2 linked regions of the Sus scrofa genome follow. The protein of the gene in region 1 purifies or fractionates together with the protein of each later gene. This does not show direct contact. Links are inferred from orthologs where the notes say so. Each region holds a gene or a part of one and is shown on either strand. Other genes may lie near its edges.

The links.
Region 2: the proteins of PHF6 (region 1) and LYAR purify together in Homo sapiens (affinity purification with mass spectrometry; 3 studies listed by BioGRID and IntAct, with this or other methods). This does not show direct contact. The link is inferred for Sus scrofa from reciprocal best matches to the Homo sapiens genes PHF6 and LYAR.

Annotation. Positions count from the first base shown.
Region 1 is NC_010461.5:110,247,900-110,252,157, forward strand, and holds the start of PHF6 (PHD finger protein 6), read left to right. Parts: upstream 1-1,191; 5' UTR 1,192-1,309; intron 1,310-4,258.
Region 2 is NC_010450.4:6,094,730-6,098,540, forward strand, and holds part of LYAR (cell growth-regulating nucleolar protein), read left to right. Parts: intron 1-308; coding exon 309-732; intron 733-1,054; coding exon 1,055-1,141; intron 1,142-3,811. UniProt on the Homo sapiens protein: Plays a role in the maintenance of the appropriate processing of 47S/45S pre-rRNA to 32S/30S pre-rRNAs and their subsequent processing to produce 18S and 28S rRNAs. Also acts at the level of transcription regulation.

The sequences.
Region 1 (4,258 bases):
GTGAAAAATAAAAAGAATAATGAAACACGATAGAAACAGCAGTGGCTTTCCAAAACAATGGAAAGCCACTGCCCCCCCCCCAAACAGGAAACATAGCTACTTGAAGGGCATCTTTAAATATTCGTTGGTTTGTTAGGGGATTTTTTTTTTTTTTATTTAACCACTGGCTTGCAGTCTGTGAGCCCAGCAGAAAAATAACAAAAGCTGGCCCTCACTTAGAGCATACTATGTGCCCAAACATTTTTCTGTGATTTACATATATCAACGCATTTCTGGAAACATCCATTTTGGATGTGTTGAAACTGAGGGACAGAGAGGTAATGCAACGTGCTCAAGGTCATAGACCGAGAAGTGGAGGAGCTGAGATTCAAACCCAAGCAGTCCGGCTTCATACATCAAAGAGGAAAGCACTCAGTTTAGGTGTCGAGTTTACCTGTACGAATTATGAAGAAAATCACTTATCTCTTCTGATTACGAAAATCTCATAATTTATAGAAGGCCTGTTACACGCCAGGGACGCTAATACACGGTTTACTTGCACTGTCTCATTTCTTCCTCACAATAAACCCGTGAGGTACTGTTTTTTCTCCTTATTTCAAAGACACACACGACTTTAAGGCACAGAGATGAAAACCGATTCGCCCAAAGATTGAAACCCAGGCAGACTGACTCCACTACAAGCTTCTCAGTGTTTCCTGGCAGTAAAATGAGAGAACGGAGGACCTCAAAGGAATGCCACGAGAGTACAATGAAATAATGGATGTGAAAAGGCCTCGGTGAACAAGTGCAAGGGATCAGGCCTACCCACTTGAATCACTGTCGAAAACTGGCTACCCAGGGCCCCCGGCCAACGGTTTCGAGCCCCAACCCAGCCCCTTCTCCGCCCAACCCACGGCGATATCTTTGAATCTCTTTCTCTATCTCCTCGGCTCCTGCCCCCAAACACTGGGTTGAGGGGCGGACCGGAGAATAGAAGGTACGCGCGCGAGCAGGAGGCGGGGCCTGCCGCCCCGAGCCGTACCGGGGGTGGCTTCTGCACATGCGTCGTGGCTCTGCGGCTTCAGCTGCCCCCTCGCTGCAGCCAATCAGAGCCCGCGGCGCGCTCGAGACGTATTAACGCTGTGTGAGTCGCTGCGTGCGAGGGGGGCGACGTAAGGGCGCTCCGCGAGCCCGTCTCTCCTCGAATGAAAGGAAACAACCTCCGGCGACAGAGCCCCGCTCCCAGACGCTGCTGGAGAACCGAGACCGACTTCTTTCTCTTTCCCCTCATTGGCGCTTCTCGCCTGCCGTTCGCCTCTGGGCCCCGCCGGTGAGTCCCCACGGTACCCTGGGGCCCCCTATTCTCTGCCCGGCGGGAGAAGACAAGGAGGATGGCGGTGGCCAGGCCGCCGCCCCTGCCCGTTGTTAAGGGGGACTCTTGGTGGTCTCGCTTTATTGTCAGGGACCCCAGAAGCGCCGCTCATTGAAGGCGCTTGGCAGAGAGGCTGCGGAGAAAAGTGCTGCGGAGCCACCAAGGGAGAGGTTAGGCTTTAGGCTAGACTTCGGGGGAGGGGGCGCAACATTTAAGGAGGAAAAAAAATACTGGGAATTTTTAGTCTTGGCCATCGCTTAGGACATATTTGGGAAGGAGGGAGACTCCCAGTTTGGGAAGAGTGAGAAGAATTGTTAGGGTGGCAGGAAGGTTAGCCTTACGGAATAAGGAAAAACTCCGGGGTGGGGGGAATTAGGGGTGAAACTGAGATAGGAAGCGAAGACTGTTAGAGGGCGAACTCCTGGGGGGGAGGAGGATTAAGGAAAGTGTAGGGTGATATTTCCCTGGATCCAGGAGGATTGGCAAAGGACAATTAGGGGACCCTGACTTTACGACCGAAAGGAACCTGCTAAAGTGTTTTAGAGGAAGATAGTTTTTGCGAGTTTACCTAGCTCTTGATTAGAGGGAGATCTTGGAGTCTAGTGTATATTGAGGAGTAAATAACGGAGAGGATCTGGTACGTTATGTGTACCATCCTTTATTATATGGACGAACAGCACGGCATTCTTTTGAAATTTCTTCGTTTCGATATTCTGCGTGGAAGTTGAAAAATCCTTTATTTTCGAAAAACCTTCCCTCTTCGTCGGCTTACTACGTAATATCAGGTCTTATACACTTCAAATCCTTTCTCTACGCTTGGGTTTGAAACAACTGGAAAATTCCTTCAGTTTCCTTTTGAATAACCGCAAAAAGCAGTGCGAAGCATGTAATAATATCGTGCAGCCAAATTCAGGTGCCCTTCCGGTTCATCTCTTATTCGTTTATTTCTCTCCAGTGTAACTTTCCTGACAGAAATACTGCCTCTTGGATCGTGTTTATATGTTTTGGTCTGTATATTTATTTCAGCTTGCTTGCGTGGGGAATTGTTTGATCTTCCGAAACTGCAATTTTTGTTTTGTTTTGTTTTTCTGTAAAAATGGTCTTTCAGATACCAGCCATTGAATGAGCTCTCGAGTTGGCTCTTGAATGCTCTCCTTGATGTTTCAGGTTATTTCCACCGTGGTGCTTTACAGCATCTTGGAAAATCGGAAATGCACTGATTGCTTCAGCCTGACTAATCGGGCTTTTATTTATGCATTTTTTTCAAATGTTTGAATGATGTTTCTGACGCTGTTATCTTTGCCTCTTCATTTCTGTTTTGTAATATTATCCATAATGCTGCGTTTCTTTTAAGGAAAAGCTTTCATTGTTGGGTGAAAGCATCAAAGTTTGATCTCTGCCTGCCCTGAAAAACCTTTTAGACCAAAATTAAAATGCCTTATACTGTATGGATCATTATGAACCTCTTAATACTGGTCCTTGGAATGCCCTTATTCCACTAAAGTAGAGACCACAAATGTGACAGCAATAGATAAAAATCTGTATTTTTATGATAAAGACATTTTTGCTAGGAGTCATTGTTTCCATGATGTTCGCCACTTCATGTTTTACAAGGAGACTGTAAAAAAAAATTAGCAAGATATGCACAGATGCATTATTTGAATTTTAGTGGAAAAATCCATTTAGTCATTGCACGTTGGGGAAAGTTTTTAATTGGTTTGATGCACTTTGTGTGCATTTTGTTCACCTTACAAATTACATTTAAACTGGTAACAGAAAAAAATACACTAGGATATTTTTGAATGCAAAATAAAGTGTACCTTTTTTTTCTCTTTTAGATTTTGGCGTCTTTGATATCTAGAAAAGTAGGTTCTAAAAATTAGGATGAGAAATTTACCTGTGTATAAAATGGAAAGAGGCAGGATTCAGTGTAGGTAGGATTTGGGGTGGGGGGGCACCATTTTCAGAATTAATTTCAAGAATGAAAAGCGATTTTCTAATCTAGGAATTTACTTTATCTTAAGCTGGTTTTATAGCTTATGCTAGGGTTGTACAGAAATTACACATTAAGATGTCTGTATAGATCGGATTCATAATGTGCCATCCTTTCAACTAGCCAAGTATGACCGGGAGAAATGCTGTGTACACTACAGTGCTTTTAGAGTGCTTACTGTTCATTGCGTAGTAGTGAAGAAAGCTAATTTAGAACTCAAATAGCAAATTTTGCTGCTATTTATGAATTTTGGTGTTTTGCATATTTAATTCTAAAGGTTTTGGCAGCTATATTCTTGATAAAGCAACTGAACACATATTTGCTTGAGCAAATGCAAACACACTTCCCCTTTTGTTTCTTTTGTTTCTCTGTTATGTTCTTTTTTTTTTTTCTTTAATCCTAAAAGTATTTGCTGCCTGTTTTCAATCAGTTTCACGGTTTATAGCCAGTGCTATGAATACAGTATTGTTGTAAAGTATCTGATGCCATTTGGAAGAGTGAGGTATTTAAAATTGTAGATACATTAAGAGTTTGTTAAACCCATCAATGCAGAGACTGTCAGAACATTTGAAGTTCCATTAAAGAGAAAAACCGAGATATAAGTTGATGGAGAAGACCTGTTTCTTTGTGGCTTCCTGTGAAATTTTAAGTATCTGCATTTTTACATTGGAAAGCACTGAATGGTTTGCATCTACCACCTTGCTAGTGTCCAGCTGCTGCTGCTGCCGTTGGTGAACAAGTGCTTCTCAGAAAGCAACAGTATGGTAGTAGTGAATCCATTTTTTCAACACAGTGTTATGAAAATGTTCAAATATAGAGAAGAGTGGAAAGAATTTAGTAAATTTTAAGACAGAAATTTGAGATTTTATTGATTATCATGTGTGTTGTGGTAACCTGGATCCCAGGCTGCTTAA
Region 2 (3,811 bases), on another chromosome or scaffold:
GTGCTCACGTTCTTTTCTAAGAGGCAGATAGCCAGAATGAATGGCCTGGCTTTAAAATGACATGAAAATTCTTCCTCTTCCAATGGAATGCAAACTCTCTATTAAACGCAAAGAGGGATGTGGGCTGAGGGTGGTTTTCTCCAATTTGCCTGTTTGCTGCTCCATTTGAACTATGGGAAGGCACAGTTATAAAGTGGTAAGTAGTAAGAATAGTTTTAAGAATTTATTCCATGGATAACATGCGGTGATGTGAACAGCTGGATCTAGAATGAGTGTTTATGTGTTTCTTGGTTTTGCTTAATAATAAGGAGCCAGTCAGTAACAAAGGGCAAGATGAGCAGCCACCAGAGCAAGTGGCCCAACCCCAGGCAGAAAACTCCGCCACGGCTCCATCCTCGAAAGCAAATGACACCTTAGAAGAGCGTGCAGAGGCCAAGAAGAATAAGAGAGAAAGGAAAGAAGAAAGGCAGCAGAAGAACAGGAAAAAAGAAAAGAAAGAACTAAAACTGGAAAACCACCAAGAGAACTCGAAGAGTCAGAAGCCTAAAAAGCGCAAGAAGGAGCCAGAGGCCGAAGGGGAGGAGGCCCTGGAGGCCCCCGGCTGCGCGGGGAAGAAGAGCCGGAAGAAGAGGAGCAAGGCCGAGCGCGCCCAGGAGGCGGATGGAGCCACTGAGGACCAGGAGAGGACGGCAGAAACCGGTCCAGGGAAGAGAAAGCGGAAGGATCTGGAAGGTCTGTGGCTAGCCGGTGCCTGGGGGTTCGAGTTTGGGGTCTATAGGAAGCCTGGTAGACTTAGCAGTTTGACCCAAGCAAGCCAAGGAGCATAAGGTTTGGGATCAAGCCGACCTGGGCTTAGTCTGGACAAGTGACATCACCTCTCATCTGCCTGTCTTGTCACCTGCCTTGGAGGAGGAGGCGCCCTTTGGGGCTGGGTGCTTGGGGAGTGAGCGGGGTGATGGGTGGAGGGGGCCTGGCTGTGGCGGCCTCTCGCTACATGGCAGCTGCTGTTATAAATGCAATTTTTTTTTTTTTTTTTAATCTTTGAATTACTTAGTTGAAGCAGATTCTAAGAAGAAGAAGATGAAGCTCCCAGGACATTGTGAGGGTGGAGAAGCGGAAAACCATGAGGCTCCTGCAAAAGGTGTGGCTGCCGTCACTGGAGGCTCTGCCCTCTCCAGGTTGGGGGGAGGTGGGGAGGAAGGCTGGGGCCGGCTGTGGTCCTGCCCTCCAGGGGCACATGGAAGAATCTGAAAGCGAAATATAGGACGTTCCGTATGCCTGACTCCAGAGTCATGCACAAGCGCTGTCTGGCTTTAAGGATAAAATATAAAGCCGTCTGGGCTGGAAACAGATTATCTTGGAGCTGAAGATAAAGCCGGTACGGGAGTTCCCGTCATGGCACAGTGGAAACAAATCTGACCAGGAACCCCGAGGTTGTGGCTTCAATCCCTGGCCTCGCTCAGTGGGTTAAAGATCTGGTATTGCTGTAGCTGTGGTGTAGGCCGGCGGCTACAGCTCCAATTGTACCCCAGCCTGGGAACCTCCACATACCATGGGTGTGGCCCTAAAAAGGCAACAGAAAAATAAAACAGATAAAGCCAGTACGGCTTCCTGGGACCTGCTTCCCTTGTCCCTGCCCCTCGTTACTCTCCTAGAACTAGCCTGTGGTCCAGCCTGGCCTGGCTGTTGCTGCCCCCACCTCTGGGTGTGTCCCCGCTGTCCCTTTGCTTGGAGCCCCAGGGCCACCCCTCTCCCTTAGCCAGAAGGTGAACTTGGCAGACTCCTACCCCTGGCCCTCAGGGTCCCCTTCAGTGCTGCCTCCTCCACAGAGCTGTCCCTCTGCTTGGGCCTGAAGCAGCCCTGGGGACCTGCCAGTCAAGAACAGGCCCAAGGCCTCAAATGGGAATTGAGGCTTTATTCCCAGACGTTTAGGAACTGCCCAATCTGGCTTAGATCTCTTAGCTTGAAAATTTGTATGTGTGAAGCTTTTTCATTTCATCAGATTTTTAGTTTTGAGACAATTGTAAATTCACATGCAGTTGTAAGAAATGACAGACCTACGGATCCTCCTGTGGCCTTGACCCGGTTTCCTCCAAGGGTGGTGCTTTGCACACCTTAGGACACAACTCCACTGGGGCGCTGGCCTTGTACCGTCGAGGCAAACACTCCCATCACCACGAGGATCCCTCCTGCTGCTTCTCTGGCCCCCGACCCCTCCTGTACCCAGCGGTGACCCGTGTCCCTTGACGTCCATTTACCTCCACCGCTGTGGCTTTTTCATTCAGAATGTTACGTAAATGGCATCACGTGGTGTGCAGCCTCTTGAGAGGGGCGCTCTTCACCCAGCCTTCTTGGGGGACCCTCCAAGGTTGCTGCGTGCCTCGGGCATCCATTCTTTTCACCTGAGCAGGGGTCTGCAGCTTGTCCGTTCAGCCACCGAAGGACACTGGGCCACTTCCAGCTCATTGTTACTACGAATGAAGCTGCTGTAAACATGGGTGTCCAGTTTCCGGTGGACCCGCGTCACGCTTTCTGGAATAAATGTTCAGGAGCGCGGTGGCTCTGTGGTATGGTCATTGCGTATTTGCTTTTTTAAGAAACTGCCAGCTCTTACGAGAGTGGCTGTGCCATTTCATATTCCCGCCAGCAGTGTGTGGAGGTTCCAGTTTTCCCCACGTGTGGCCAACGTTTGGTGGCGTTACTGTTTTTTATTTTAGCCATTTTGGTGGGTGTGTAGTAATAACTCACAGCAGTTGTCATGTGTACGTCCCTGCCTAATGATATTGAACATCTTTTCATTCATTTATTTTCTGTCTCTCTCTTCATTGAAATGTCTGTTCTTGTCCTTTGCCCATTTTCTGATGGGATTGTTGTTGCTTTTTTGTTTTTTTTTTTAAACTGTTGAGACTTGAGTGTTCCTTATATATTCTAAATACTAGTCTTTTGTGGGACGTGGGGTTTGCAAGTTGCACTTTGGTTTTTTGTTTTGTTTTTCAATTTGTAGCTTGTCTTTTTATCCTCTTAACAATATCTTTTTTTTTTCTTTTGGCTGTGGCTGTGGCTATGTTATGCTGAAGTTCCCGGGCCAGGTATTGAACCTGTGCCACACAGCAGCGACCCAAGCTGCTGCAGTGACAACTCTGGATCCTTAACCCCCTCTGCCGCAAGAGAACTCCAGTAGATGATACTTTTGACATCAAGTCTTAAGCACTCTTTGCCAGTCCTAAATCCTAGAGATTTTTTTCTCTTTTCCTAAATGTCTTATAGTTTTAGATTTTATACTTATGTCTATGATCCATTTTGCGTTAATTTTTATGTGAGGCATGAGATTTGGTTCAAGGTTCATTTCTTTGCTAATCAGTGTCTGGTTGGTGCACACTGTTTGTCAAAAAAGCTGTCTTTTCTCCTCAGTGAATCGCTTTTGTCCCTTTGTCAAATATCCATGGGCATATTTGTGTAGGTCTGTTCTGAGATCTTTATTCTGTTTCATTGCTCTCTGTCTATCCCTCTGCCAATACCATGCATTCTTGACTTTTAAAGTCTTGAAATTGGGTAGGCTTATTCCTCTCACTTTATTCTTTTTTCAAAATTAGATGTTTTAGAATAATCTTGCTCCAACTACAAAATAATCCTGCTGTGATTATATAGGAATTGCATTCTACCTGTCTATCAATTTGGGAAGAATTGATAACTTTACTGTGCTGAGTCTTCCAACCCATGAACATGGCACTTCGCTCTGTTTATTTAAGTCTTTGGTTTCTTTCGTCGTCATCCTGTATCTTCAGCGTATGCATCTTCGTCTTGCCAGAAT